Arabidopsis thaliana: one gene and its partners. The main gene of each other region encodes a partner of the protein of the gene in region 4 in a complex. Each region holds a gene or a part of one and is shown on either strand. Other genes may lie near its edges. The genes, in order: JMJ14, SHH1, AT5G46910 and AT3G27360. A codon is read from its position in the direction of its gene.

Region 1 (7,364 bases), on a different chromosome or scaffold from region 4:
AGACCAAACTCTTTCCATATAAATACTCTTTAACACTGACACAAAGTTTCATCACTTTCTCTTGATCACTCACTGCATCAACAATGGCCAGAGAGAAGATTGTGGTGGCTGGTGGTACCACAAAGAGCTGGAAACTACTCTTGGGGCTGAGAATATTTGCATTCATGGCTACTTTAGCTGCAGCCATTGTAATGTCACTAAACAAAGAGACAAAGACCTTGGTTGTGGCCACCATTGGTACTGTTCCTATTAAAGCCACTTTAACCGCTAAGTTTCAGCACACACCGGCTTTTGTGTAAGCGAGTAAAACCCTATACGAAATCGATTCGATACATATTGAAAGCAAAATGTTTTTGAGTTATTAACATTGATTCTTGGTTTTACAGGTTCTTTGTTATAGCTAATGTAATGGTGAGCTTCCACAACTTGTTGATGATTGTGGTTCAGATTTTCAGCCGGAAACTGGAGTACAAAGGTCTTCGTCTCCTCTCTATCGCCATTCTTGACATGGTATAAACATTGGTTTTCAAATCAATTTACTGGTTTGATTTCAATTGAATTAGTTTGAACGTTTGGAAAAAAAGCTAAACGGTTTCTTGATAATCTAAAAAAACGTTGGAAAAAAAGCTAAACGCAACACTAGTATCTGCGGCTGCAAACGCGGCGGTGTTCGTGGCAGAGCTAGGGAAGAACGGAAACAAGCACGCCAAGTGGAACAAAGTCTGCGACAGGTTCACCACTTACTGTGATCACGGCGCAGGAGCAATCATCGCAGCATTCGCCGGAGTCATTCTAATGCTCCTCGTGTCCGCCGTCTCTATTTCCCGCCTCTTAATCAATTCTAAAAACTTCTCCACCACCGCCACCACAACCTCCGTCGTCTAAAACATCGTGGCCAAAAATTCAGCAACATGTGTGTGACCATTTTATAGATGTTGTGGCTTACTTTGTGTGTTTGTCTCTCAAGTCACTAGCAAATTGTGTAATGCACTCCTTTGTTCTATCACTTTCACATTTGTATTCAAGTTTTCATTTCTCTCTTATCTTTTTATATAATTCTAAAATGACAAAAAAAAATTCACAAAGTATATAGTACATTGAAACAATGAGAAAAATCTACAATAGATGATTAGATAAGACCAATTCAAGATAATTTATACCTTTTATTTCTCAACTACTTCTTCTATTTATGGAAATATAATTCTAATCAATTGTTAGTTTTTTACATTAAAATGAATTATATCAACCGACTAAAAAACAAATCAGTATTAGTTCTATCGCATTGTAGTTCCCATACAACTTAATTTTTGTGTTGTAAATAATGATCCTACTGTCTCTAATAAATGTGAATCAATAATCATAACTATTGAAATCCTTTTCTTTTTGGTTAGTAAAAATGAAGTGTAAATAGTATAACTGTTTAATTTAGTTCAGATATACAAATCAACAAAACTACTTAATTTGAAGATTAATTCAGTTTTTTTTTTTTTTTAATTTTCTGTTTATAAAACTACTGAATTTTATTTGGTATAAATGGATTGAAGATTTTATTACAAAACAAAATCACATTTGGCGGCTTCTTCTTTTTATGTTCTAAACCCTTTTCTTAGATCGGACTCCAAGAAATCTACTTGCTTTAATCGTTAACCTAATAAATTCTTCTCTAAGTTTTTTTTTTCTTAACTCATCAAAGAAGGAAAGAAAAAAAAAAACCTCTTTCACAGATATTTAACCAAAAGGTTTTAGATTTATACTATACGTTACAAATAAAATTCGAGAGTCAAATTCAATCTTGGGAAAAGCTTTTGTTCCGAATCTTGGCCCCTTCACGAAGGTACACTTATCATCTCACTCTCTATTTCCAGACACAAATCTATATGCGTTCTGGGTTTTTTTAGGGTTTCGAAAACGGCACTGCATTTCATCAAGTAAGGGTTTGTTTTTTATTTAACAGATCTTTGTTCTTCCTTAGGTCACGGGTTAAAAGTATCGATCTTTGTGAACTTAATCTCACTGTAAATGGATCAGCTTGCATCTCTAGCAGAGTCTGTGGCTATGGAGGTTTCTCATCTTTATCCTTTTGCTTCTTTGATTTGTGTTTTTTGCTTTCTCCTCCATTTGTAACCTCTAATTTGCATGTTTGCTAGATTCAATTAGCACTGTTGCAGTTTCTGAATGTGGAATTGTGTTTATTTCTTGCAGGAAGATTCTGAGAAACAATCGATTAAAGGAGAGAGTAGTCTTGAACCTGACTCTACTCCTTCTAGTCCTAAAGTAAGTTAATTGGGTTTCTAGCAAAGTATTGGTTGGGTAAAGAGGTTGATGGCTTATCTATGTGCTAAACCCGTTTGAGTCTGAAAATCCAATCAATTCTAGTTTTAATTAAGTTCGTGGCTTTTGCTTATCAGTATCTTCCTTCAAAGATCTCATCTTTCTGAGAGTCGTTCTTATTGTATTTGTTTTAGATTAAGCAAAATCTATTTACTTGGGTCTTAAGAATTTAGCAATCTCATCTGGATCTTATTAGATTGTTTGTTGTGTTAGCTATCTGATTGTCCAAGAGCAGATGAATCTGATTCATGAATGATATCGTTTTGTTGCGTATTTGAAGATAACTGCTAGGTGGAATCCATCAGAAGCTTGCAGGCCTTTGGTTGATGACGCTCCCATCTTTTATCCCACTAATGAGGTATTTAAAATACTCGAGTTGCAATTTTGGTTCTGTCTTGGTAGTTAAATTGTTATCTTATCTGAAAATTTTGATCCTTATGATACTGCTTCATGGTCAGGATTTTGATGATCCACTTGGTTACATAGAGAAGTTGCGCTCTAAAGCAGAATCATATGGCATATGTCGAATTGTGCCGCCTGTTGCATGGAGGCCCCCTTGCCCTCTGAAGGAGAAAAAAATATGGGAGAATTCTAAATTTCCCACCCGGATTCAGTTCATTGACTTGCTTCAAAACCGAGAACCGATTAAAAAATCTACTAAAACCAAGAAGAGAAAACGGAGAAGAATCTCTAAAATTGGATACACAAGAAGAAAAAGAGATTCAGGCTGTGATACGGCTTCCTCTGGCTCTAGTGATAGTGAAGGAAAATTTGGTTTTCAGACTGGGCCAGATTTTACCCTGGAAGAATTTCAGAAGTATGATGAATACTTTAAGGAATGCTATTTTCAGTCAGAGGATCATCCTGGTTCCAAAGCGTCTGAAAATAAGAAATTTAAACCTAAGGTTAAGGACCTTGAAGGTGAATATTGGCGGATAGTGGAGCAGGCAACTGATGAAGTAGAGGTATGTACATGCAGCAATATAATGACATATCAACTATTTGTGTCTTTCTTGGTTTCACCATTTTCTTTTGCATTTATTTGAATTTGATGTTCTTCGAACTTGCTACTCTTGTTTTTGGTCCTATGACAGGTGTACTATGGAGCTGACTTGGAAACAAAGAAATTTGGAAGTGGTTTCCCAAAGTATAAACCGGGGTATCCTATAAGTGAAGCAGATCAATACTCTCAATGTGGTTGGAACCTAAATAATTTGTCCCGTCTGCCCGGATCAGTTCTAGCTTTTGAGAGCTGCGATATCTCAGGAGTCATTGTGCCATGGCTTTATGTTGGAATGTGCTTTTCAACTTTTTGTTGGGTAAGTTTCATTTTCTTAGGGTAGACTCTTGCTAATTACTGAATCGCATGAATAATCTTTTGATATTTCCTGGAAATTATATGTTGCTGAAAAAAAGCTGATGGAGTTCTATTAAAACCTGTTATTGAATCAAAATTTTATTACTTAAAGGATGTCATGCCTTTGGGACCAAAGTTATGGAATTGATGCATTTTTTGTGTGCTTTCTAGGAGCTATGTACTAACCATCTGCTATTTACCCCCTTACTTTGTTTGAAACAGCATGTTGAAGATCATCACCTTTATTCCATGAACTACTTACACACAGGTGATCCAAAAGTTTGGTATGGGATCCCTGGAAACCATGCTGAGTCTTTTGAAAATGTAATGAAAAAGCGTCTTCCAGATTTGTTTGAAGAACAGCCTGACTTGCTACATCAACTGGTGAAAGTTTCTCCCAATTCGTTTTTCATTTCAAGCTCTGCTGATTAATTAGAACTCCTTACGTGTGTAATTTTGGAGATGATATGGCGAGAGCTGTCTTTTGGTTAAGATAATATGTATCTCACTCTGCACCTCCTATTGTTATCAGGTCACTCAGTTATCTCCAAGAATCTTAAAAGAGGAGGGAGTACCTGTCTATCGAGCTGTCCAGCGCAGTGGAGAATTCATTCTAACCTTCCCTAAGGCCTATCATTCTGGGTTTAATTGTGGTTTCAACTGTGCGGAAGCAGTAAATGTTGCACCAGTTGATTGGCTGGTTCATGGACAGAATGCAGTGGAAGGCTATAGCAAGCAGCGGCGAAAGAGTTCATTGTCACATGACAAGCTGCTTCTTGGAGCTGCTATGGAAGCTACTTATTGCCTCTGGGAGCTTTCACTTTCAAAGAAGAAGACTCCTGTGATTGCGAGATGGAAAAGGGTTTGTAGTGAGGATGGATTGCTTACGAAGGCAGTCAAGGTAATTTTGGTTCTCTGTTCTTTTTTCTGTGTGCATGCATGTACAATACACACTCAAAAAAGCATAGGCTATATGTTACATTTCATAGATTGACAACTATCCTCTGAAGTAATAGTGTACTAGTCTACCTGATTTTTGATAAGATTGAAACAAACATCTTCAATGGCACTAACATAGCTGTGGTTAGCAGAAGCGTGTGCAGATGGAAGAAGAAAGACTAAATCACCTTCAAGATGGTTTTAGCTTGCGAAAGATGGAGGGTGATTTCGACAATAAGAGAGAACGGGAGTGCTTCTTGTGCTTCTATGATTTGCATATGTCTGCTTCAAGCTGCAAGTGTTCCCCCAACCGGTTTGCATGTCTTATCCACGCTAAGGATCTGTGTTCATGTGAAAGTAAGGATAGATATATCCTAATTCGCCACACCTTGGATGAGTTATGGGCACTGGTCAGAGCTCTAGAAGGGGATCTTGATGCCATAGACCTATGGGCAAGTAAATGTCGTGACCAGTATCCTTCACAGCATCCAAGAGCAAGAGAATATGCTTACCTCAAGTCTGCCCCATGTATAAAGAGCCGTGGTTCATCAAAAGTACAGCAGCGAGAACAAAACAATCTTCAGTTAGTGTCTGAACGCTTACAAAGTGATCTAACCTCAAACAAGGAAGTTCAGTTGAAACAAGATGGTGATTCAGATGTAAATCGCCATGGTCATGAAAGCGAAAGAAATCATGTACATGGGATCACTGATAAGTCAGCTGTCACGGATGTAAAACTTGGTGTGGGAGGTAAGTTTGATGAGAAGAAGATTTCGGTTGAATCTCAAAACCCACATTCAGTTTCAGATGTAGGGTGTAGCGAGCTGGCGAAGAAAGTGGATGGTTGTTTAGGAGGGAAGGACCAAAATGCTGCAACCAATAGGTTAAGTCTCTCTGTTGAGCTTTTGAGTTCTGGATCTCTCGTTGTTAAAAAGCTGTGGTGCAGTAAACAGGCCATATACCCAAAAGGTGATGAATTGAGAATTTTGGATGAGCTTTATACTTTAGTATTTTATTTTTTATGTCTTCTGAGACTTTTGCTTTTGATTGTATGTTACAGGGTTCAAGAGCCGTGTTAAGTTCTTAAGTGTGCTTGACCCAACAAACCTAACCAACTACATCTCAGAGGTTCTGGATGCAGGGCTTCTTGGTCCATTGTTCAGGGTACACTAACTACGTAGTGGTTTCGAGAATATAACTGAATATCTATTTATCATGCAGAACACATGAAGGTGGTAAGTTACTGATCAATCAGTATTATTTCCAGGTCTCAGTAGAAGATTACCCCACTGAGAATTTCTCGAATGTATCTGCTGAAAAGTGCTGGCAAATGGTGACACAAAGGCTCAAACTCGAAATCATCAAGAAATGTGATCAACCAGTTAGCTCTTTGACCTCTTTACAACCTTTGGAGAGTATAAATGGGCTTGAAATGTTTGGATTTCTCTCCCCGCACGTAATTAAGGTGACAATCAATTTCTCATGCATAGCCATAAAACTATGATATCCTGAATCTTCTTGCGGTGGAAAGTTTTTTTTTTTTTTTTTTTCTTCTACTTTGCTGGATGAGAGAAGCTCCCATCTTCTGTTTCAGTCCCCTTGAGCATCTCTCTTACTCGCCTACATGACCAAATTTCCATATGTACTTTTTAGCGTTTTGGACTGAAAGTTGACCATTGTGCACAGGTGGTTGAGGCTCTTGATCCAAAGCATCAATTGGAGGAGTATTGGAACCAAAAAGCAGTGAAACTGTTTGGTGCTGAACCAATAAAGGAAGGAGAAAAGGATGATACAGAGAAAGGAGGGGCTTCAGATCCCTCTTTGGACCGGGACACAAGGCTTCTGCGTGGACTGTTGAAGAAGGCGACACCTGAAGAATTAGTAATGATGCATGGACTTCTGTGTGGTGAGACTCGCAACACCGAGCTCAAGGAAGAGCTCTCTACTTTGGTTGATAAGATGGAGATAAGTCCTTAAGGAGGAGCAAGCAGATAAACACACTAACACCCTTTGAAGTTGATTGTGTTTGTTGTTCCTTTGGTTATAAACTGTATCAGTAGAGAAATCTAGAGAGGCAATACAAAAGTAGACAAAAGGGTTACTTCGTTGACATGTCTTTCCTTTTTACCAAAAAAGGGTTTAGGATTAATGATTGTATTATACTGTGTTGCATTTGCAATGTACCATTGTTCTCTATATTTCATTTGCTTATTTGTAACAGCTTTTATGATTAGTAGACGATTTCAAACAACAACCAGATCCAAAATTGAACCAACCTGTATGAGCTGTTGTAACAAGATAAAATAACATACTTTAGAGTTTTAGCTGCTCGTGTTTTAAGAAAAATACATGCATAAATTCGAATTTAGAGCCTATATAATCAATCTTTCCCACAGTACTTGGGACAAACGATAATATGTTTTTTTTGAATCTTTGGACTGAAAAGAAGCCAAGTGTAAATATGAATATGTACAAAGAGGAGAAACTTTAAGTGAGATCATCCTCGTCTAGATCGTCATTAGTGTTCATCTGAATTGCAGTAACATCTCCAGTGGGTAGCTTCCTAGCCAACTTGATAATCTGCAGACAAAATACTTATCCGTATAAGATTCCAGTAGTTTAATGAAACATTCTGTGATCATATGGTGTCACAATAACCAGCATAATGCAGAACAAATACATTCGGAAACACAGAAAGACATAATTAGGATTAGGATTCGACAGATCATTTAAGTGA
Region 2 (4,162 bases), on a different chromosome or scaffold from region 4:
CAGAGAGCGGGTCGATAGTTATATTACTTTCGGCACAAAGATTTATTTCTTTCCAAATAGTTTTTGTGCTAAATGAGCTTTTTTCCACATCTTTATCTTAATAAGCCGAAGCTCACAAAATGTATTGACCTGCGTATTGTATATACAAGAAGCAATGAGTAAACAGAAAGAAATAGTCTTGCTCACAAGAATGAGACTGTATGTTGAACATTACATAGGGTGTTAACTGGTTAAGCATTTGGGTATTATTACATTGTACCATCACCATTCCCTTTACAATTCTAAGCTTTTGCACTTTATTCCACATAGTTGACAGAAAAAAACTAACATAGAATCCTAGGGCCGGTAGGTACTTAGTAGTGGAAGTCTATACATGAGCATGTTATTCCATTTTTGGGTCAGTCATATACTATATAGTCATAGTTTACTGCATCTTCCAAATATGACTTCAAAACCAAAAAAAATTACTCTTCAGGGCGGCGGCAAATTCTTTCTAGTCCCAGCGATTCCTGAACATACACTTAACACAAAACTTCGTCAATAGTTCCCACACCCAACAAAAAGGCTGAGATCAATCTTCTTACCTCTGTATTGTCAAGCTCGTAGCGAACAAGAAACACGCAGTTACATCTCGCGTGATCATGAATCCCTCTCTTGATATTCAAAACATGACCATCACAGTAGAGTGCTTGATCCTCTCTTTCCTGCTCATTAACCACCCCAACTTTCATTTTTAAGTTCAAATTTCTTTTGTTAAATGTTCCATCCTTCATAATTAGATCAAAGTCAGCCTTACTTGGAAACATAGAAGCAGGTCTCCAACGTTCACTCTCCCACACTCTGATGGTTCTACAGGAATAGACCGCTCACGCACTGATGTTTTGACGTTTACCCACTCATCGTGTCGGTTGTCGAACCCAGAAAACCGTACACGCACTTCCTGTTGCAGACACTCTTAGTTGCAAACAAATCATCCATTAAACAAAAGAGAAAAAGCTTACCAGTTCACCAGTGCGAAGAACTCTATAAGTAAGGAACGAAGACACGTCATACCTGAAAGACCAGAATTCCAGCAAATAAGCACAGATATAAAACACAAACGTATATTACAAGTCCAAAAATTAGGCTTTATATGAATAACGTTCTTTCTTAAGTTCACACTGAATAGGTAAGGGCATTCCTCGTTGAGTTAACAATCAACAGAGAGTTCACATTTCAGGTTCTTACTTAGGCCACTTAACAAAGTCATATGCTAGCAGTAGTCCAAGAGTTAAAGCAAAAATAGAAACATGATATTCAATGCAAGGAAACGTTCTTACCACGCGTAGTCCCGCGCTGATTTAGCCTCAAAAGCCAGATCAGCTAAATCAGAGGCCTTGCCTGTGTATGAAAATGTTCATAGGCGTTATAAGGCGTTAACTAAAAGAATCAAATATGGCACACAAGAAAAGGAAAACCTTTTCGTGTTTGAACAAAGGTAGAATTCCCAACAAAGGTAGCATTTGAGGCATTTGAAGCATAAGAACTGGGATTAGATAAGTCATGAATCTGCAAAGGGGGAGATGGCAAAGTTTTGGATTTTGGTTGGCTTTGATGCTTCAGCTTCTCCTGGAACCAAATCTGTACCTGAAAACATTTTGATTCAAAAAAAAAAGTTATTTCTACTCTATTTGCATTTTTTACCAGTTAGCTCTATGAAGAAAAAAGAGACGCACCTGTTTCCAGGTTATAGAGGATTTGCCATTCCGATTCACAGAACAACTATAAGAGAAAATGGAAGAAGACATAAAGATTTTTTAGATACTGTGCATGAAAATCAATAATCCTACTATTCCTATAAATCCACAAAATGCTTGTGTCTCGATTCTCTAACAAACACATTCACATGATCAAATTCTCGTAAAATTCAGAATAAAGTACCTAAAAGTAGAGGCAACAGTTTGACAGAAATCTTTGTGGAGAGATTGGTCACCGAGCTCCTTATACAGATTCTCCATGTCTACAATCTTCGAATAAGAAGAGCAATAAGATCACAAAGCATGAATCTCTAATCTAAGAAAACGAATGATAGAAAGCATAGATAACCTCAGACAAGGTAAACTCGGTGAAATAGTGAGAGGAATCATCGGAAGCAGCCATTATCGAGCGCACAAGGAAGAAGAAGAAGAAGTGAAAAGGATCTTGAGCTAATTTGCTACTACACTGATGCCTTCAGAGTTCAGTGAGCTTTAGTGGGTTAATGGGCCTAAAATGGATAATAATAATATAAATGGGCTTAAACTCACTAATTTATTACCCATATGCTTGTTTTTTGGACCGTCTATTATTTTATTTTAACCACACTCATATAACTGTACTATTATTTAATATTTATAAATGACTTTGAAACAATCGAGACAGGATGAGGGAACCCGTCCGCGGGGAATCTTCCAAGTCATATGAGCTGGTGGTGCGTGGTGGAGTGTTTATTAATATTCATGATTACTGACATTATTAATCAAATACTATCATAGCATGTATAAGTATATAATTTAATCACAGCTAATCCTCACTAAGGCTCTACCTTCTTTTGTTGGCGACAACCCAGGCCCTTATTTCTCCAATACAAGATTCGTTACTAAACATATCAAATATACATTATTGTAATTAGTTAGTTAATTACACGTGCTTTAAAGCATTTTAAACGCACAAATTTGAAAATGATGGCAAAGGCCCTGATTGATTTTGACCGAGACACAAACACGCAAACATAGAAAATTTAATCAGGGATTTGTACTCGGTTACATAGCTGTCATTCTGTGTTACGTATTAATTACGGTATTTAACTAATCACGCACGCAGTAGATATACTATAACTTTACTTGATTAACAAAGCTAATAGCATCCATAAATTGGGGTCAAGATGTTTGAACTCATAACGAGTTACTTTGACATTTGTAGATTGTGTGTAGTTGGTACGAGGTCTACTAGTAAGTCATAACCAAATATAACTAATCGTAGTAGACTAATTCAATTTCTTACATAAGTCCCAAATTTTCTATACCTGTTCTGCACTAATCACTCCTCTCATTCTTATCACCATTGGTCCATTGCCATCTCTTGAATCCGTCAATCTTTTATTAATTTAAAAAGGCCACCTGCTCTATTGTTGACAATAGAAGGTGAGGAAAAACAAAACCAATCAAGCCAAAAAAAGACAACCTGTCTACATCATTAAGCACCAACCTTATACAAACGTATAAATCGAATTTTTAACTCGTGTATGATTGACTAGGCATCCTTCATTTTCCACATGGGCCATCCTGTTAAAAGATGTTTCATTATTGCATGGATTACTATAATAATCACAAGAATTTAAAAGGCACAATCAAGTGGTGCTTTTCTTTATAGTTTTCATTGGAGATTGTGATAAAATAACAGAGAGCACCAGAGGGGGAGCTTGCACTCGTCATTGTCCCTTACTCTTTTCTCTCTCAATGCTGCAGAGGCACTGACAAACACACCATCTTTGCTTATCTCTTTCTCTGTTTTCTTCAACGAAATTTACATATCATCCGTTTCTTCTACTCACATATGGATCCTATCAGTCTAATAGTCTAAAAGAAAGAAGAAGAAGCACTTAACTTAATAGAAACAGGATCAAGATTCATAAGATCTAAAGATGGATTACGATCCAGCTCATGCTATGAGCAGAGGTGGGAGTATGCGGCAAACCATAAGTCGTAGTGTAAGCAAAGCAAGCAGAAACATGGAAGACATATTCAATACAAGCTCTAGACGAACCAAATCTGTCAACGAAGACGAAGAAGCTCTCAAATGGGCTTCCATCGAGAAACTCCCTACCTACAACCGTCTCCGCACAAGTCTCATGCCTGAATTAGGCGAAGACGACGTCTACGGTAACCAAATCCTCAACAAAGCAGTTGACGTCACGAAGCTTGACGGCGAAGAACGTCAGAAGTTCATCGACATGGTCTTCAAAGTCGCAGAGCAGGACAACGAACGGATCTTGACAAAGCTAAGAAACAGAATCGACAGAGTTGGGATCCAACTTCCGACAGTAGAAGTGAGGTACGACCACTTGACTGTGAAAGCTGACTGTTACACCGGTGATAGATCTCTTCCTTCGCTTCTTAACGCGGTGAGAAACATGGGAGAAGCT
Region 3 (7,149 bases), on a different chromosome or scaffold from region 4:
GGCATATAAAAATATTTTAGGAAAATAGTATGATAGTATAGACGTGTGATCTCTAAAACAAAAGTGGGATAATTAACAAAGACTTAGAAGAGAGTGACATACATTTTTATTTTTCAACATTCAAATCTATGATCTTTTCTTTTAAAAAGGGAATAGGAGATTTAAGAAAATATAGAAAGAAGGTCATAAAAGAAAATTAAAATATAACTAAATTATAGTAAAATGGACGTATCTGTTAGAAAAATAGACAAAATAGTCTTTCATATAATGTCAAATGGAAGTTATGAACCAATGGTTTATATAAGAAGAGGGATATAAATGACACAGAAATAATAAACTAGTAAAAGAATGGTTTGGACATTATTGGATATGAACAAGAAGAACAAATAAACTAAGAGAAAATAGGCAAAAAAAAAACATCGAATTTTTTGTCTGTCATTCAAATAGGTTTAACTACGACAACAAGTGAATATTTTTTGGGTGGGTCTAGTCGAATATTCTAACCACTACATAGATTGGGAAAGCTAAACTAAGAAGCCTAAGACCAAGCAGAACCGGTTACAGAGTAGCTAAACCGCAAGGACTGAAACCGGTTAATGAAGCCGAGCCACATTGGTATGGTACAGCTTTCGTTTTCGCTGACTTCACAAAACTAATCATTATACCTAACTCATCACAGTTTATTTATTTATAAGAAAAGAGAAACCGAAATTAAGAATGGACCAATGGATTTCTGTTGGGATAATGGCTTTAACCGGGAACCGGAAAACCCGGTGAGCTCACCACCACCCACAGTAACAGTAACCAAGAAAAACAATTGTCTTCCCAATGCACCTGCCACGTGTATAGAGACAGTACAGAAGTGTCACCACGTTTCGACTTTCTGTTGTTTAAATGACTTGAATACCCTCCGTTATGACACTATTTTACTGTTTGAAGGAAACGCAAGATTGATGAAACGGCGTTTTAATGGGTTGGCAGCGTTTGGTTGAACCACCTAACAACCACCACTTTCCTTCACACTTATAGTTCCTTTTTTTTTATTTTTTTATTTTATTTTCTGTTGGGAATCTATTTTTTCTTTATTTTTTTATTAAGCATTTGGTCTTAAACAATTATAAAAATAAAGCTGATTGGTACAAGTATTAAAAAGGAAAAAAGGCTGACTGATAATGGAGTTGATTAGCTACAGCTATAGATTAATAATAGCTGAAACCTTTTATTTAATATTTGTTTACTGGAAAATAGTGGTTGTAAATTTCAAACAAATAAAATGTACATCTTTTTAAATTTAGAACAAATATAACAAAAGTAAACATTAGTTTGTTAGAAATTTTTAAAAATATAAAAATATTTAATTTTTGATTAGACTATTCACTTTTTCTTTAAATAAGATATATTTTAATATGATTGGATTATACTTTGCTTAAAATCTTGGGATGTTTATGAAATGACTTAAAAATTCTTAAAATAGATCATGACCGCACCAATCGCAGCAAAACGGTAGGAGCGTTCATTAGACACCTAATTGGCTAATTGATATGGCTTGTGAAGAATTTGGGAACCTTCCCGATATTCACCAATATTTAATTATAATTTGTTGTTTTCTTTAGAATTTTAATTAGGAACGGCTTTTGTGTTAAAATTACGGTGGCCACTAAAGCATACACGTTTTGGAGTATAAAACTATAAATTATACATTCATAACAATTTTTTCCGGTTTTCCAAGTTTCTTCCTCTCTCGGTCCTCTTTTAGCATCTCTACAGTTTCTCTCTCCTCTACCGCCGGAAAAAAAAAACGATTTCTCCGGCCGGTTTTGGTTTCTCCGTTCCGTTAATAGCCTTCGTTTTCTCGTCCTTGGAATCGTCCTCTGGTTGATTTCTGAATGTTCGTTTGACTCGGCTACGCGGCGATTCGGATCTCCGTGTTTGACTCGGTCCCTGGCTCGTTACGCGGCGTTTTCGTAGAATGTGGTTTACTTTGTTTGCATGCCAGGCTTTGTATTGAATTCGTGGGGCGAGATCGTGATCTAGGGTTTCGTCTCTGTTCTTTTGGTTCGTTGCTTGTTGTGGTCGCTTTTTGTTTCTTAATCCGGCTGAAGAAAACGAAAGTCTACAGAGATAATAGATTACGGAATGATATGGTGAGATGATTTCCCCTCTCTGATTTTAGTCAATTTTGTTGTTTAACGATTTTGGAATTCTCGTGAATTTTTGTTGTTAACGATTTTGTTGGATCAGATCTCTAACATTGCTCGATTTTTTTAGAGTTTCTGCTATTTTTTTTCTTGAATTGGTTACTCTTTTTTTTACTCTGCTTCGTTGTTTGATCCTTCTCTATGGAGAATCTCACGTTTTGTTGCTATTTTTGTGAACTTGAGATTTGAGCTCTGTTGAAATGGCGGCGAATCTTCACGTAGGTCAAATGATTGTGTGTATGAGAGGAAGTTGTCGATGGTTTCTAAGTTGTGACTCGCGTTCTTCGAGGGTGTTGAAATTAGAAATTGTCACATTCTTTGACTTTGTAGGGTATTGGTCAAAGAGATAAGGCTGTACCAGGAAGTGAAAATGCTTATATACCTTTTGAAACTTCTAGGTGTTGACTGTTTCCGTTTTCTGTGTTCACTTTTTATGTTTCTTAGCTTTTTGTGGAGTTATAATATTTTGGAGCTATAGTGGGTTAAGTGTGAATGGTTGACCTATTGTGTATCTATGACTCCTGTATATGGTATTTGTAGTATGAACTTTTGATATGTATCTAGAGGAATGTTTGCTGACACTTGGTTTTGTCAGGCGGAAAGGAGGATCTGCTTGTCTAAAGAGGCTAAGGATGGGTTAGAATTTCTGAAACGTAAAAAGCTTCAAAAAATGAGATCAGACTCTGTCAATGAAACAGTAGGCTTCAGCACAATGGCTAGAAGTGGTGGTGATGCTTTGAGACCAACTTCAGCGTCATGTGGAATGAGATTACGGGTAACTTCTAGTGATACAGTATCTAAAGTGCATGGTGCATCTACTGTGAGAGGTGGCTTGATGAAGGAAAAAGTGGAGAAGCTTGAGACAGATGATCTAAAATGGACCGAGAGGCTTCCAGAATGTCCTGTCTACAGACCAACAAAGGAGGAGTTTGAGGATCCTCTGACTTATTTGCAGAAGATTTTCCCAGAAGCTTCAAAATATGGTAAAACAAAAATCTCAATATGCAAGTAGTAGAATTGTGCTTCTTAATTTTCATGGCTTCATAAGTTTGTTGAAGCCATTGATTGGTGTTGTCTATAAAATGGAAAGAAAAATGTGATGTAGGCAATATAGAAGACTTGTATCCTTTCATAGACATTTAACTGTAATTAATCTCATTATGTATTTCTATCCAATCTCATATTCTGCCTCTGTCGTTTGTAGGTATTTGCAAGATTGTATCTCCTTTGACAGCAACAGTTCCTGCTGGCGCTGTGTTGATGAAAGAGAAATCAAACTTTAAGTTCACTACCAGAGTACAACCCCTTCGACTTGCTGAGTGGGATTCTGATGATAAAGTTACATTCTTCATGAGTGGGAGGTTTGTTATTAAACCTATTACCATTTAGCTCTACATCTTCACTTTATAGTTTGTATTTAATTATTTGTAAACTACTCAGGACCTATACATTTCGCGACTATGAGAAAATGGCGAACAAGGTATTTGCACGCAGATATTGCAGTGGTGGCTCTTTGCCCGACTCATTCTTGGAGAAAGAATTCTGGAAGGAAATTGCGTGTGGCAAGACTGAAACAGTTGAGTATGCGTGTGATGTAGATGGTAGCGCATTTTCATCTGCACCAGGTGACCCACTAGGAAGCAGCAAATGGAACTTGAATGTATTGATTTACTACAACTTAAGCTTCTCCCTTTTCTATTCTTTTTTGGTTAAGCATTAAAGATATCATATGCTTGCATATGCATCGTTATTTACATTTGGTAGTTATATGGCTTTTTATATCTCTACTTTCAGAAAGTTTCAAGGCTTCCTAAGTCTACCCTGCGCCTTCTTGAAACATCCATTCCGGTATGTGAGAAGTAGTACAGTTATATTTAGTCACAAGATCACTTTAGAGGTTTCTGCTAATTCTCTTCTAACTTGGATTTGCTTGTTTCAGGGAGTCACAGAACCCATGCTTTACATCGGAATGCTTTTCAGTATGTTTGCCTGGCATGTTGAGGACCATTATTTGTACAGGTAACAAGAGTTTAACGAATTTTGGTTAAAAGTATATGGGTTACTAAATGTGGCAATCCAAAGAATGTTAATCTCCTTTTTTTCTGACCTTCTTTCCCAACACAGCATTAATTACCAACATTGTGGAGCATCAAAAACTTGGTATGGGATTCCAGGTTCCGCAGCTCTAAAATTTGAAAAGGTGGTTAAAGAGTGTGTGTACAATGATGATATTCTATCAACTAATGGAGAAGATGGTGCCTTTGACGTGCTTCTGGGGAAGACAACTATATTCCCCCCAAAGACTCTGTTGGATCATAATGTGCCAGTGTATAAAGCTGTGCAAAAACCTGGAGAATTTGTTGTCACATTCCCCAGGGCTTATCATGCTGGTTTCAGCCACGGTAAAACAAAATTGTCTGAATCTACTTTTTTTTGTTGGTCAGAGATGTGGTATCATCTTCAACTGAAATTGTGGTTGTGTGAAAAATTGTAGGTTTTAATTGTGGTGAGGCAGTGAACTTTGCGATGGGTGATTGGTTTCCATTTGGAGCTATTGCCAGTTGCCGGTATGCTCATCTTAACCGAGTACCGTTGCTTCCTCATGAAGAATTGATTTGTAAAGAGGCAATGCTCTTGAACTCAAGTTCCAAATCCGAGAATCTGGATCTTACACCTACAGAATTGTCAGGACAACGAAGCATCAAGACTGCATTTGTACACCTGATTCGTTTTCTTCATCTTGCTCGATGGTCTCTAATGAAGTCAGGATTATGCACAGGCCTTGTTTCGAATACATATGGAACCATAGTCTGCAGTTTGTGTAAACGGGATTGCTATTTGGCATTTATCAACTGCGAGTGTTACTCACACCCCGTTTGTCTACGTCATGGTAAATTTTTTTCTCTGTCATCTCTATCCATACACATCCTTCATTATTGTTTTCTAATTGATGGTGCTACCGTGTATTATCTAGATGTTAAAAAGCTTGACCTTCCATGTGGGACAACGCATACTCTTTACTTGAGAGACAACATTGAAGACATGGAAGCTGCTGCAATGAAGTTTGAGAAGGAAGATGGAGTTTCAGATTTGATTACAACTGATGAAGATTTATATAAGTATCCATCATCGATTACACTTCCAGCTGCGAAAGAAGACGGATATACACCGTATTCCACTATATACTTTGATTTCTATACTGAGGTAGAGATGACATCTCATGACCAGTTGCAATCGGGAAATCCCGTCATGAGTTATGAGGCAAACGCTTCATGTATCTCCTCAGTTGCTGATGATTATGAATGCTCTGATTACGTAAGTTTTACCACGAATCTGTGACAAACTTTATCTGACCGTCTCTTTCTTCAAATATCTGATTTCTGTTTTCTTCTAAAAGCAGGTAAATAGACGAGCTAACTGTAGCAGCAGTAGTGATTCAAAGCTCTCGGAAGAAGTAGCATGCAGCAGTAGCAAAAAAACTCGGTTCTTCCCTGTGGTTCAAGATGAACAACTAGTTGCGGATCAGGAAAGTGATGGATCTGATTCCGAGTGTTTTAGAGTCAAACGCCGTTCTTCATTGAAGTTTGAGAACCGAACAGTTGTTCTAGACACAAGAGAGTCTGACCATCATCAGGTACTGAAAGCCATATACTTATAAATATTAACTCTCTATTAAACAGTGTTCATAGACTGTAAAACCCTGAGATTTTTCGTGTTTATTAGGAACTTAAGAGACTGAAGAAATCGCATCATCACGAAGGAAGATATAGTAGTAGCAGTAGTGTTAGTAGGCAAGAAGAAGAAGAAGATGAGTTAGTAATTTCAAACAGGAAAGAAACTCAGCAACAAAGTGACGTGAAGATGCAGAAGAAGAGGATCGAGAATCATTTTGGTGGCTTTAAACGTCTGAAAGTGAAAGGGCTAATAAAGCCGTAACGTGACAGCTTCAAGTTTCCTCCTAACTACAATTCTTTTAAATTGGCTGATCTCTAACAATACAGGAAAAGCAAAAAAAAAAAGGAATCAAAAGCAAAAAAAAATATTCAGTATCTGATTTTATTGTCATTATTTTTTTTAATCATGGGAGAAAGAAGAAGAAGAAGCAACAGACAAAAGAAGGAAAAAAGCATTTAACCAGCCAAGCCAACCAACCAACCAACCAACCAACACTATTGGTTTCTTTTTAGGATTTACCAAATCTTTGATTCTTTGTGCACATCTGTACACACCTTTTTTAATCTCTTCTTGTTCCTTCTTCTTTTCTTACGATGTAAATCTCTTTTTTCTCCTTTAAGTGGTATTTGTTGTTGTTCATGATTATGCATAGAAATCCCAATTCTCTCTTTAAAAAGATTATGAACAACTTCCACCTACTAGAACCGGAGGAACACAATTTTCTTTCCTTGCATACAAAACTTACAGATAAAGCCATCATGTTAGTACACGTTCGAAAGTTTCTTCTCATGCCAATAAAAGTTACCATTAGGTTAATAATAATCGGTCCCAACTCCCAACATATTAAGCTACAGAGACACATTCGACAGACAAGAAGCAAAGTACAGATGCCAACTTAAACCAAACTAAAGTCTTAAGACAACATGAATAAATAGAAAGATCTTTTCCTCAGTAATTTCTTCTCACCCTCACATCCATCATCATTAGGGTTTGGAGACAACTAGAAGTAGCTCCTCCGGTTTGATGAATGTAAACTTGCAGGTATATATCCCCAACAACAAGGGGATACTCTTTAACCAAACATTGCCATCCACCAGAGAAAGCTCCATAACTCCCCAGATACACCACATTCCAAAATTTCTTCCCATTTGGATGATGGACTTTGAATATTGTTTTCTCAACCGGCATTTGATCCTTAACAGAACTTCGGATCCTCTACACACTCAAAAAAAGTTTGATTCACATATCAGTTTTTTTTATAAAAACAATCATTGCT
Region 4 (3,253 bases):
TAAGTGAAAAAAAGATTGTTTGAAGGATTGGTATGTTGAAAATGGATATAGAAGTTGGCTTTTTGGGGAATTGAATTCCAATTGTAGGACTAGGAAACGATTTATCTTGTAGTCTGATTTTGGAGTTTGCATGGATGGTTGGGAAGATTTTGTATATCTTGTTGTTTAGCTGCATTGATTCTCATTCAAGTCTATTTTGATGGAAAGTGGTTGCAAATTGTAGAACTAGGAACCCTTCACTCTTGGAATTTGCTTTCAGAATTTGCATGGATGGTTGGGAAGATTCTCATATATTGTTGTTAGCTGCATTGATTTCACTTATGTGGTTCTTCACTACTGTATTACTGTCTGAATTGTTGTTTTGGTTTAGGAAGCTGATCTATATATGGGGCATTCAATAGAAATTTGACCTTTCGATGTGTTTGTAACAAGAGACTTGTTGGTATGTGTAGGTGGATAAGCGACAGTCGTGATGAGTACACTAAGGAAAGACTTGAGGCTATTGACGACGAGTTCAAGCTTTACCGTTGCCATACAATCTTGAATTGTGCTCGTGCCTGTCCAAAGGGTTTGAACCCAGGAAAACAGATTACTCACATCAAGCAACTTCAGCGTTGAAACAGCTAAGTTTGTGTGCGGGATCCGTTGGGAAACTCATCAGTCTTAACGTTTGAAGCTAATAATCTTCACAAAACCTCTTCGGATTTTCAATTCATTCTTGTATTGTTGTTGCCAAATATTAGCGCCTTAAAAAAACTCGTTTGCAAGTCTTCCCAAGTAGATGAGCTTTGTGGTTGTATCTTGCTGAAAATCTCCTCTTTAAGTAATAAAACTCGAGTAAACTTAAACCTCATCTACTTATCATCTACTCTTTTGTGTTCCCTCTGCATTGGCCTATGATAAAATCATTTCATGTACTTGTGTCTCTGCCTTCTGTACACATGAACACAACGTGATGTATTATCAATCATAGCTTAATCATAGAAAAGTATCAATCATAACTTCCTTGACATTTATGATTGACTGCGTAAGTATAACTGCAAGTACTGATCACACAACAAACAAGAAAGATGACACCGGCAACACTAGCTATATTCTTTGTCTCTTTGGTTACTATTGGAACAGCAACCGATGTTGCTCCAGCAACTAAACAACAGTTTGAGTTCTTTCCGAGCTTGCGGGAGCATCAGAAGTCTCTATTTGTTACTGTGGAAGGTACCATAGCTTCGAATACTAGTTCTAGAAAGTAAAAACAACGATAATGTTTTTTAACTGTGGAAGGTACCATTGCTTTTTGTTGTTGTTCTTCACGTGCAGGCTGCAACAACCATTGCCTAACAGCTTGCTGTGACTGCAACATAGAAAAACAGCCTCCCGTTTGTGTTCAGTGTTGCCCGATTTGAGCCTTGAACTCCTTATGTTCATGTATGTTTGAAGACTAGAGACAATGTAGAAGATTTAAAACACAATTCAGGATGTCAAACTTGTGAAACAGAGGAAGCTTATGTGATATTTTATAAGTAAAAAAAACAGATATCACAAATAGAGAGAGATCAGAGTTTGTATTGTAAAAGCCTACAAATTTTCGCAATCTGTTGATGGAATAAATTCATTGAACAGATCGTAATATCAAAGATGAAAACACTTCTGTCTCACTCAGAGTCTTTGGATCACAAACACCGTTACACATCGCAATAATTAACACGTCATCATAAATATCCCACGTGTAGAATCCTCGACAACTGAAAGAATCACTCTGATTGGTTACTTAACATACGACGCAGATAGCAAAGATAAAAACAATCTTGACCGTTTAGAGGAAAACACATCTAACGGACCAAATTCTCTCTTCTTTGAGTATAAAAAAGCATCCCAACCTCACTCTGTATATACCAATCAAACACGACAGTCTCAACAATCAAAAGCTTCAAATTTTTCATTGTCAAGAATTCTCAAAATGGCTAGAACAAAGCAAACAGCTAGAAAATCCACCGGAGGAAAAGCTCCTAGAAAGCAACTGGCGACGAAAGCAGCAAGGAAATCAGCTCCAGCCACCGGAGGAGTGAAGAAGCCACACAGATTCCGTCCAGGAACAGTAGCGTTACGTGAAATCAGAAAGTATCAAAAAAGCACAGAGCTTTTGATCCGTAAGCTTCCTTTCCAGAGATTGGTTCGTGAGATAGCTCAAGATTTCAAGACGGATCTTAGGTTTCAGAGTAGTGCAGTCGCAGCTCTTCAAGAAGCAGCTGAAGCTTATTTGGTTGGATTGTTTGAAGATACTAATCTTTGTGCTATTCATGCTAAGAGGGTTACGATTATGCCTAAGGATATTCAACTTGCGAGGAGGATTAGAGGTGAGAGGGCTTAAGATTTGAAGAAGATGAAGAAGAAAAACAATGGTCTAGTGTAGATTTGCTTGTTTGCTCTCATAAGATTTGTAGATTCATGTTTTAGATTTGGTTTTGAGTTTTCTTAGTCTTTTGTTCTGAAGTGTCTTCCAGATGTTCGATGAAATGCCCAAATGAAAATTTAATCTACTTTTGCAACTTTCTAAGAATCAGTCTTCAGTTTAACTTATTAGATTTGCAATTGAAGTTGTCATTTTGGTTGTAACTTATTTGTATATTGTTACATCTGTATTCAGGTCTTAGTGACTTGTGTCAAAATGGTTCTAATTTATTGACCAAAGCAGGGTTAATCATTTTATTTTCCTGCAGCATAATCTTCTCTCTGTTATCAAAGTCCTCTTTCAGTGGTGAGAATTATGTGTTATTTTATCGATTAATTCATCACAATAAGTTTAAGAAATTACCAATGTACTGTTGGTCAGTGGTAAATTTTTTAGGTGGAGGTGCTGAGTTCGAGGTGGAAGGTATCTCTTTTCCAAAAGAGTTGAATTTAACCTGATGTAGAGAAGATATATGATTTTTAGATTTGAACTTTCAGATATTAAAAAAAAAAAAGGTTTAAGAAATTGAATCAAAGTTTTTTTAAATTGTGAGTACTAAGTATAAACAATAATGTAACCTCAAATTCTAAATTCATATATGTTCTGTTTTTTTTTTCTTTTCTGTAATGGCAAAGATAAAGAAGTCTTCAATTATTTAAGACCTGCACGTTATCTATAACAACAACTCATTGACTTAACCCACAAACTACTCTTGTTGTTGGATGTTACGTTTTGACTCCATTAAAGCTCTTCTTGGCTTATATATCATTCAAGCTAACTTCCAAATTCGAAAAATCTCTCTCT

What was found.
Region 1: the proteins of AT3G27360 (region 4) and JMJ14 are in contact, whole or in part, in a crystal structure (PDB 5YKO), measured with the Arabidopsis thaliana proteins. Residues at the interface, in NP_189372.1 of Arabidopsis thaliana: Arg3 (codon at 1,964), Thr4 (codon at 1,967), Lys5 (codon at 1,970), Gln6 (codon at 1,973), Thr7 (codon at 1,976), Ala8 (codon at 1,979); in NP_193773.2 of Arabidopsis thaliana: Phe171 (codon at 3,108), Asp239 (codon at 3,441), Glu285 (codon at 3,579), Cys287 (codon at 3,585), Ile289 (codon at 3,591), Ser290 (codon at 3,594), Gly291 (codon at 3,597), Val292 (codon at 3,600), Trp296 (codon at 3,612), Tyr298 (codon at 3,618), His309 (codon at 3,911), Val310 (codon at 3,914), Glu311 (codon at 3,917), Asp312 (codon at 3,920), Ser317 (codon at 3,935), Gln361 (codon at 4,067), Leu362 (codon at 4,070), Val363 (codon at 4,221), Ala409 (codon at 4,359), Val410 (codon at 4,362), Asn411 (codon at 4,365), Ser436 (codon at 4,440), Leu437 (codon at 4,443), Ser438 (codon at 4,446), Glu516 (codon at 4,870).
Region 2: the proteins of AT3G27360 (region 4) and SHH1 are in contact, whole or in part, in a crystal structure (PDB 4IUR), measured with the Arabidopsis thaliana proteins. Residues at the interface, in NP_189372.1 of Arabidopsis thaliana: Thr4 (codon at 1,967), Lys5 (codon at 1,970), Gln6 (codon at 1,973), Thr7 (codon at 1,976), Ala8 (codon at 1,979), Arg9 (codon at 1,982), Lys10 (codon at 1,985), Ser11 (codon at 1,988); in NP_849666.2 of Arabidopsis thaliana: Glu130, Ser133, Arg135, Asp136, Tyr140, Asp141, Phe162, Phe165, His169, Arg182, Ser183, Pro185, Leu201, Phe203, Glu205, Arg206, Glu207, Asp208, Gln209, Ala210, Leu211, Tyr212, Glu250, Arg251.
Region 3: the proteins of AT3G27360 (region 4) and AT5G46910 are in contact, whole or in part, in a crystal structure (PDB 6IP4), measured with the Arabidopsis thaliana proteins. Residues at the interface, in NP_189372.1 of Arabidopsis thaliana: Ala26 (codon at 2,033), Arg27 (codon at 2,036), Lys28 (codon at 2,039), Ser29 (codon at 2,042), Ala30 (codon at 2,045), Pro31 (codon at 2,048), Ala32 (codon at 2,051); in NP_199502.2 of Arabidopsis thaliana: Arg161 (codon at 3,492), Val176 (codon at 3,537), Phe179 (codon at 3,546), Asp234 (codon at 3,790), Asp236 (codon at 3,796), Ser272 (codon at 4,038), Ile273 (codon at 4,041), Pro274 (codon at 4,044), Gly275 (codon at 4,138), Met280 (codon at 4,153), Tyr282 (codon at 4,159), Glu295 (codon at 4,198), Asp296 (codon at 4,201), Ser301 (codon at 4,216), Ala400 (codon at 4,710), Val401 (codon at 4,713), Asn402 (codon at 4,716), Leu427 (codon at 4,791).

Annotation. Positions count from the first base shown.
Region 1 is NC_003075.7:11,006,985-11,014,348, forward strand, and holds JMJ14 (JUMONJI 14), read left to right. Parts: upstream 1-1,573; 5' UTR 1,574-1,834; intron 1,835-1,972; 5' UTR 1,973-2,019; coding exon 2,020-2,061; intron 2,062-2,202; coding exon 2,203-2,274; intron 2,275-2,611; coding exon 2,612-2,689; intron 2,690-2,708; exon of another isoform or gene 2,709-2,768; coding exon of another isoform or gene 2,769-2,789; coding exon 2,790-3,296; intron 3,297-3,425; coding exon 3,426-3,650; intron 3,651-3,910; coding exon 3,911-4,072; intron 4,073-4,220; coding exon 4,221-4,589; intron 4,590-4,779; coding exon 4,780-5,596; intron 5,597-5,687; coding exon 5,688-5,791; intron 5,792-5,894; coding exon 5,895-6,092; intron 6,093-6,313; coding exon 6,314-6,604; 3' UTR 6,605-6,858; downstream 6,859-7,364. Other genes in the region: AT4G20390 (Uncharacterized protein family (UPF0497)), read left to right, coding at 84-295, 387-510, 628-885; GSNAP (gamma-soluble NSF attachment protein), read right to left, coding at 7,115-7,207. UniProt on the Arabidopsis thaliana protein: Transcriptional repressor. Histone demethylase that demethylates 'Lys-4' (H3K4me) of histone H3 with a higher activity for H3K4me3 and H3K4me2 than H3K4me1. No activity on H3K9me3/2, H3K36me3/2 and H3K27me3/2.
Region 2 is NC_003070.9:5,236,073-5,240,234, reverse strand, and holds SHH1 (SAWADEE HOMEODOMAIN protein), read right to left. Parts: upstream 2,192-4,162; 5' UTR 2,140-2,191; coding exon 2,086-2,139; intron 2,007-2,085; coding exon 1,921-2,006; intron 1,762-1,920; coding exon 1,716-1,761; intron 1,627-1,715; coding exon 1,458-1,626; intron 1,381-1,457; coding exon 1,320-1,380; intron 1,054-1,319; coding exon 1,002-1,053; coding exon of another isoform or gene 978-1,001; intron 941-977; coding exon 797-940; intron 705-796; coding exon 522-704; downstream 1-521. Other genes in the region: ABCG35 (pleiotropic drug resistance 7), read left to right, coding at 3,662-4,162. UniProt on the Arabidopsis thaliana protein: Involved in RNA-directed DNA methylation (RdDM). Required for the silencing of some endogenous RdDM targets and accumulation of 24-nt siRNAs, but not for the production of Pol V-dependent transcripts.
Region 3 is NC_003076.8:19,044,747-19,051,895, forward strand, and holds AT5G46910 (Transcription factor jumonji (jmj) family protein / zinc finger (C5HC2 type) family protein), read left to right. Parts: upstream 1-1,592; 5' UTR 1,593-2,141; coding exon 2,142-2,144; exon of another isoform or gene 2,145-2,173; intron 2,174-2,793; coding exon 2,794-3,181; intron 3,182-3,402; coding exon 3,403-3,559; intron 3,560-3,638; coding exon 3,639-3,858; intron 3,859-3,992; coding exon 3,993-4,046; intron 4,047-4,137; coding exon 4,138-4,217; intron 4,218-4,322; coding exon 4,323-4,600; intron 4,601-4,692; coding exon 4,693-5,088; intron 5,089-5,172; coding exon 5,173-5,513; coding exon of another isoform or gene 5,514-5,537; exon of another isoform or gene 5,538-5,598; coding exon 5,599-5,832; intron 5,833-5,921; coding exon 5,922-6,134; 3' UTR 6,135-6,633; downstream 6,634-7,149. Other genes in the region: AT5G46915 (transcriptional factor B3 family protein), read right to left, coding at 6,822-7,088. UniProt on the Arabidopsis thaliana protein: Histone demethylase that demethylates 'Lys-27' (H3K27me) of histone H3 with a specific activity for H3K27me3 and involved in the regulation of gene expression. Acts as a temperature and photoperiod dependent flowering repressor.
Region 4 is NC_003074.8:10,128,574-10,131,826, reverse strand, and holds AT3G27360 (Histone superfamily protein), read left to right. Parts: upstream 1-1,889; 5' UTR 1,890-1,957; coding exon 1,958-2,368; 3' UTR 2,369-2,722; downstream 2,723-3,253. Other genes in the region: SDH2-1 (succinate dehydrogenase 2-1), read left to right, coding at 453-618. UniProt on the Arabidopsis thaliana protein: Core component of nucleosome. Nucleosomes wrap and compact DNA into chromatin, limiting DNA accessibility to the cellular machineries which require DNA as a template.